Linked DNA regions of Arabidopsis thaliana. The protein of the gene in region 2 purifies or fractionates together with the protein of the main gene of each other region. This does not show direct contact. Each region holds a gene or a part of one and is shown on either strand. Other genes may lie near its edges.

Region 1 (3,755 bases), on a different chromosome or scaffold from region 2:
AGGACAAACCTTTCTCCCAGAGAGTAGATTTTCTGGTTGGTGGTGTGGTTGTTGTTGCTGGATACTGTCAGTCTCTGCAACTTTTTGAACCTCATCAGGTTCCTTATACAGTTGTGATAGTTTGTGGTCTCCTGCTTCATCTTCATGTTTGGAGTATAAAGATTGTTGTAATCTTTCTGTCAAATGATCTTCTTCTTTTGAACTTGTGCTGTCTTCAGGAACTGGTTGCAGATTATCCAGTGAATTACAACAGTTGGTCAGCTGGAGAATATCAGTTGCTTCAGGAAAATTATCCTTAGTAATGTCTTCAGTTTCCCACACAATCTCGGAATCTTCTGCACAAAAATTGATGATGGACAAACAACCGGGGTAATCAATAGCAAGTATTTCTGGAGCTTCTATCTTCACAATCTCCAAACCAGTTACACTCATATCTAAGTTAGCCTTTATATCATTGCTTTCCTCATCCTCTTTATCTTCTTCTTCGCACCCAGAGCTTGTGTAAGCAGAAATGAAGTTCTTTACACAACCAATGTTCTCATATTCTGAATGTTGTGGATTAACATCCAATTCCATCTCCTCTCTAGACACACTAGAGTACAAAACAATTTGCTTATTCTGAAAATCAGCATCGCTAAACTCTTCTGATGCATCTTCAAAAGCTTCCTCAATGGCTACCACTCCGGGAAAATTTGGCTCTGCACTGCAGTATGGAACCAGCCTCATGTCACTGGACGAATCAAGCATTATTTCTTCCACCAACACTGTATTTATAGGAGATTCTGACTTTTCACTACAATCCATGGCTTCAGAAACTGAATAGCTATCATCCCAAACTTCAGGCTTGACATGAAAGAGCACCAACGGCAAATCAACCTTTTCCACAGATGGAGGAGAGGAAGTAGAAGTACCACACTTTGCTTTTTTACGCTCCTGCTTCTTCTTCCTTCTCTTGGAGAATTTCGTATCCCAACTGCTAAGAGGCTCCTCAATATCACATCCTTCATCTTGGGTCACATACTCTTTTTTAACTTCAACGTTCGAGAATGTCTCAGTAGTAGTATCTCTGCAGTTTCTAAGTTTCCTTTTCCTTTCTTTGCATTGTTTCTGAATCATCTCCAATGTTGTCATGCTAAAATCTTCAGACTCAGAACCTTGTGTAAAATCAGAACCATTGTCCAAATCCCTGACTACTCTTGGAATTGACTCAACACCTTGACTGTCTTCAAGATTGTATATATCCACCAACTGTCTAAATTTGAGCTTTGGTTTTCTTCTGCCATCCATATTCATCACTATTTTGATAGATCCGTCTTTAATGGTTCGGATATAATGTACATGAGAGTTCAAGTGTGTGCTACTTCTTAACTCCACCATTGTAACTATCAGATAATTACTTGCTAACAACTGATTAAGCTCGTATAATCCCCGCGCTCCTGGATTGAAACAAACAAAGGAATTACCGGTAAGGATACTGCTAAGTGCTAACAACAATAAACCAGAATCCTAAATTTCATTAAGCCAATCAGAGAAACGAACATCAATTAGCTACTAAACACAATTTGAAACCAAAACTCTTTTCTTAGAAAATCAATTGCACAAATCTGACCACGAAAAAGGACATGCAAATTAAAAAATGAAATTCACAATGGGCGGCGAAAACCCTAATTTCGCTACATCAATTTTTTTTGTAGCTGTATCGATTCGAGAATGGTAAAGAGCAGATCTGGGTAAAGTAGATGAATGAATCAAAGAGAAATTGAATCTAGGACATTGAATTTACCTTAAGTCTTAATCAACGCTTAATTGGATAGAGAAGGGAAATGAATGCCGAATCCTGGGCTCCAAACTCTAATTTCTGGATCTAGGGTTCACTAAAGAGACAGAGAGACATTAATTTGAAAACAAGACGAAGAAGAAGACCAAGAGACTGAAAATTGCAGCTCTTTGTAAGAAGGGAGGCGAAACCTTTTCTTTGGTTGTCTTGTCTTCTGAGTTCTGACTAATCTTATGAGCCGTCAAGTCTCGCGGGAAACACATGGCGGGAACTTTGACGTTATTCTTTTTTTCTTACTTAAGCATCTTTTCGTAAATGGGTCTTTAAACTTAAAGCCCAATAATCATTAATGGGCTTATATATATAAAATGGTTAGGGGTAAATGTGTAAAAATCCACTTAGCAAAGACTTGAGGTTGATGATATACCACCCACATAGCGGCGCATTATAGATAAGGAGGGGAAAATCAGCTTTTTGGAGAAGAAACCAAAGAAAACATTCGAAACCCTAAAATCTCCATTAGAATTCGAAAATGACAAAGAAGAGAAAGCTCGAAGGAGAAGAATCTAACGAAGCTGAAGAACCGTCGCAGAAGCTGAAGCAGACGCCGGAGGAGGAGCAGCAGCTTGTAATTAAAAATCAGGATAATCAAGGAGACGTTGAAGAAGTTGAATACGAGGAAGTAGAGGAAGAGCAAGAAGAAGAAGTAGAAGATGATGACGATGAAGATGATGGTGATGAGAATGAGGATCAGACGGATGGGAATCGTATAGAGGCGGCGGCGACGTCTGGATCTGGCAATCAAGAAGATGATGACGATGAACCAATTCAGGATCTGTTGGAACCATTTTCAAAGGAGCAAGTTTTGAGTCTTCTTAAGGAAGCAGCGGAGAAGCATGTTGATGTAGCCAATCGAATTAGGGAAGTAGCTGATGAGGACCCTGTTCATCGGAAGATCTTTGTGCACGGTCTTGGTTGGGATACGAAAACAGAGACGCTTATTGAAGCTTTTAAGCAGTACGGAGAGATCGAAGATTGCAAGGCTGTGTTTGATAAGATCTCAGGGAAATCTAAAGGTTATGGCTTTATTCTGTACAAGTCTCGTTCAGGTGCTCGCAACGCACTCAAGCAGCCTCAGAAGAAGATTGGTAGTCGTATGACGGCATGCCAATTGGCTTCTAAAGGACCTGTCTTTGGTGGAGCTCCTATCGCTGCTGCAGCTGTTTCAGCGCCTGCTCAGCATTCGAACTCGGAGCATACTCAGAAAAAGATTTATGTTAGTAATGTCGGAGCAGAGCTTGATCCACAGAAGTTGCTGATGTTTTTCTCAAAGTTTGGAGAAATTGAAGAAGGTCCTTTGGGTCTTGATAAGTATACTGGGAGACCTAAAGGTTTCTGTCTCTTTGTTTATAAGTCGTCTGAAAGCGCCAAGAGGGCTTTGGAGGAGCCACACAAGACTTTTGAAGGCCATATCTTGCATTGCCAGAAAGCTATCGATGGTCCCAAACCGGGCAAGCAGCAGCAGCATCACCATAACCCACACGCCTATAACAATCCTCGTTACCAAAGGAATGATAACAATGGTTATGGTCCGCCTGGAGGTCATGGACATCTCATGGCTGGTAACCCAGCTGGGATGGGTGGTCCAACGGCACAGGTGATAAACCCGGCCATTGGACAGGCCTTGACAGCTTTATTGGCATCTCAGGGAGCTGGTTTGGCTTTTAATCCGGCAATTGGACAGGCTTTGTTGGGTTCCTTGGGGACAGCTGCTGGTGTAAACCCAGGGAATGGAGTTGGAATGCCAACTGGTTACGGTACTCAAGCTATGGCACCGGGGACAATGCCTGGGTACGGTACACAACCTGGGTTGCAAGGCGGTTATCAGACTCCGCAACCTGGTCAAGGCGGTACAAGTAGAGGGCAACATGGTGTCGGGCCATACGGTACTCCTTACATGGGTCACTAAATGTATCAT
Region 2 (3,755 bases):
TAATTTTAATTTTAGTATTATTTATTAAATTACATGACACGCCTTCCAGAAGATCCACTGCACCTCTACTTTATCTGTAACAAAATATTACTATCCTTTCATCTAACGGTTAAATAGGAAATCCACCGTAGTCATTGATACAGCTGATTATTCCCAAGCTCGAAACGAGAAAAGACTAGAGCGCGCAAATTTTGAATATATTTATTTATTGTCTTTACTTTCCATCAAATTTTGAAGAACGAAAGAACACTGTTGGCTAAGAGGAAAACCCTAGGAACCATCAACCGAGAAGAACGAAGAAGATTCGAAAGATGGAAGGGACATTGGAGCGACACTATTCTGCTTCAATTCGGTCAATTTTCGAAGCTTTCTTTTGAGAATCGTCCATCGTCGAATGTTGCTTCATCGGAGTTTCAGGGTCTTCTCGATTCGGACTCGTCGGAGCTCCGGAATCAGTTGGGCTCCGCTGATTCAGGTGCCAATTGCGGAGATAAGGACTTTATTCTTAGCCAAGACTTCTTCTGGTAAATCTTCGGCATTTCCTGTAACACAATTCTGGTAAATCTTCGGCATCAAATCAGTACTTGTAAGTATCTGTAACACAATTCTGGTTTAGTTATTCTGATATCTTCCGTAGCTAAAAAGGAAATTTCTCTCATCACCATTTGATTCCAATATTCCTCAGAACAAGAAGCTGCGCAAAAGAATTTGAAAACGAAAACGACTCACAGTTGCTTCCACCGTTACATCACCGGGATCCCTAGCATAATTTAGCGCACCACAACCTGAAAACAACACATAAGCTCCTTATGAAAACACTTTCCTTAATCAGTTAATCTATGAACTGCAAGAAGGTACGGGAAACCTGACTGAAGTTAAGATAGTCATAGAAAAGGCTTGATCGCAAAATATATACCTATGAGTTTTTCGAGCTTTGTTTGAAGTATTAATCCTCCCTACAATATTCAAGCCAACTATGGTCAAACCACAATCAAATTCACCCTATAGCTCCTCAAAACTAGTCAAGCCAACAACAATCAGGAATTGGGCAAAATCAAAAGTTCCCATGTTCTTTCTCAAAGACAAATTCTCAGGAGTTCCCAGAGAGCTTTATGCAAGCTCAAGTTGAGATTAAACATTACCTCTTCTTCCTTTGCATTCTCGCTTGGCCACATATCATTTTCTCCCAAACTAACATTGATGATCTCTTCCTCCTCCTCTAAAAGACCAAACAACAGCTTGCGAATCACTTGTTAGACAATGAGCGACCTAAACACTAAGATCTAAAATCGAAATTTCAGATGATAAAAGCAATCATCAGTTCTCACCAGAGATGCTCTGATCGGAATCTGGATTCCCCTGAAAATCCAACAAGAACAAAAGCAAAACTCAAAATCAAATTAATCCAACAATAAAAGAAATCGCAAAAGCAAACAATTCTCAGAGATGTAGAACAGTCACCGGAAGGTTTCTTCGCCGTCACATTCGCCGTCACCGTTCAAATCGATCTCGCCGGCGTGCACCTTTATACCGTCCTTGCCGTTAGTATGCTTGGATATGGGCCCTTCTCTGAGTTTACTTTCTTTTAGTATTAGTAATTGGGCTTTAATAGGCCCAATTCCCATGTTTTATATCCCACATTTTAGAATTAATCAAACATTAATCTGGCAATTCCTTAATTTCACATTCTAGTACAAATTACTGGTCTTTAGTTATAAGGATTAAGGAGAGTTAATTCATGTTTGGAAAAAAAAAAATGAGAAACTTTTTAGTTGTTTGACCAATAAAAATACAAATTGTTAAATTAATTAACAAAAAATACTAATTCAAAATTTTAATTAGTGAATCGTAACAAAAAATATTATATTTCTTAAGAAAGTTGAATATTTAAATTAGTGAATCGTAACAAAAAAAATGCTAGTGCTATTATAGAAAAAAATATTATTTATTAAAGACCCATCAAAGCGTACATGATACGCTCTACAGAAGATCCGCTGCACCTTTACTTTATCTGTAGCAAAATATTTCAATCCTGAAGATTGAACGGTCCAGAATTGATTATATAGGAAGTGCACCGTAGTCAGTCATGCAGATGACTATTCCCAAATTTTAGCTCGAAACTCTAAAAGACGAGAGCGCGCAAATTTTGAATTTATTAATTTATTTCAATTATTTTTCCTTAGTTGAATCACCACCCAAAGTAATAATATTCATCGTCATGTTCGAGAAGAACGGAAGAACACTGTTGGCGAAGAGGAAAACCCAAGGGACAATCAAAACCAGGGCATCGAAGAAGATTCGGAAGATGGAAGGGACATTGGAGCGTCACTCTCTGCTTCAATTCGGTCAATTGTCGAAGATTTCTTTCGAAAATCGTCCGTCGTCGAATGTTGCTTCATCGGCGTTTCAGGGTCTCCTGGATTCGGATTCTTCGGAACTCCGAAATCAGTTGGGTTCCGCTGATTCAGATGCCAATTGCGGAGAGAAGGACTTTATTCTTAGCCAAGACTTCTTCTGGTAAATCTTCGTTAACTCTGGCATTTCTTAGCTGTGTATATCTAATTCGAGATCTATCGTTATCTTCTAGGTAGTTGAATTTTGGGATTAGTTAGTATTACGATTTCAAGATCTGACTTTAGATTTGAGATGGTTTCCCTTATATTCACTTTTTAAAAATGAAAGCTAAACTTATGTCTAGCTAAAAGATGCTTGTGAGATGTTGATGAATGATGGTCTCAGCTACTAATAATTTCTTCTCTGGTTAATTTTTCCAGCACACCTGACTATATAACCCCGGACAATCAGAACTTGATGAGCGGCTTAGATATCAGCAAGGTAAAATTGTTGATTTGGATGTTTATTTCACCAATGTCTCAAATTTAAAGTTCTTCTCTTTATTGTTTTTGTAGGATCATTCTCCATGTCCTAGGTCTCCTGTTAAACTAAATACAGTTAAAAGCAAAAGATGTCGCCAGGGTAAGCTTTCTTTGGATTCAGATTTTGTGTTTAGTATGAGTAAAAAGAAGATTTTCGGATGAGAAGAAAATATACGTTTCAGTTTTTGTGGTACAATTGTTATCATTATAGTTATGTTTGATCTCCTGTTTTAACAACTGTCCAATATTGAATTCTTTATTGCTTTAAGATTCACACTAGTAGTATCTAGTGATTTCATGTTTTGGTGACAGTGTGTTCTTTGCTTAATTTTTTCATTACTCAGTTTTGTTTGTTTTTTTTTGTGTTTGATGCAGAGAGTTTCACAGGAAATCATTCAAATTCTACCTGGTCTTCAAAACATAGAGTAGATGAACAAGAGAATGATGATATTGACACAGATGAGGTGATGGGGGATAAACTCCAAGCTAATCAAACAGAGAGGACTGGATACGTTTCACAGGCTGCAGTTGCTCTGCGGTGTCGGGCTATGCCACCCCCTTGCCTCAAGAATCCGTATGTGTTGAATCAGTCTGAGACTGCTACTGACCCTTTTGGACATCAGAGATCAAAATGTGCAAGTAAGTTTGTTGTCCCTAAAATTCTTGCTCAAGAATTTCCTGAAGGCTTTAAAAATCAATAAGGCTTGGTTTCTTCAGTAAAACTGTACTAAATATACTGTTATGTAGGTTTTCTCCCTGTAAGTACAAGTGGGGATGGCTTGTCAAGATATCTCACGGACTTTCATGAAATCCGGGTAAGCGAAAGGGTCTTTTAGCTTGGAATTGTGATCATGACGGAATTATGTTGCTTCTTCTTAC

The links. The genes of interacting proteins can lie anywhere in the genome.
Region 1: the proteins of WEE1 (region 2) and UBA2A purify together in Arabidopsis thaliana (affinity purification with mass spectrometry, with the first as the bait; one large-scale study listed by BioGRID). This does not show direct contact.

What each region holds. Positions count from the first base shown.
Region 1 is NC_003074.8:21,050,699-21,054,453, reverse strand, and holds the start of UBA2A (UBP1-associated protein 2A), read left to right. Parts: upstream 1-2,133; 5' UTR 2,134-2,309; coding exon 2,310-3,746; 3' UTR 3,747-3,755. Other genes in the region: AT3G56870 (uncharacterized protein), read right to left, coding at 10-1,377. UniProt on the Arabidopsis thaliana protein: Heterogeneous nuclear ribonucleoprotein (hnRNP)-like protein that acts as a component of a complex regulating the turnover of mRNAs in the nucleus. Binds with high affinity to RNA molecules that contain U-rich sequences in 3'-UTRs.
Region 2 is NC_003070.9:671,190-674,944, forward strand, and holds the start of WEE1 (WEE1-like kinase), read left to right. Parts: upstream 1-2,116; 5' UTR 2,117-2,218; coding exon 2,219-2,517; intron 2,518-2,774; coding exon 2,775-2,835; intron 2,836-2,909; coding exon 2,910-2,976; intron 2,977-3,251; coding exon 3,252-3,515; intron 3,516-3,623; coding exon 3,624-3,691; intron 3,692-3,755. Other genes in the region: AT1G02965 (uncharacterized protein), read right to left, coding at 472-594, 730-785, 917-956, 1,143-1,217, 1,329-1,359, 1,462-1,625. UniProt on the Arabidopsis thaliana protein: Cell cycle regulatory kinase that is not rate-limiting for cycle progression under normal growth conditions. Transcriptionally activated upon DNA stress or damage in an ATR- or ATM-dependent manner.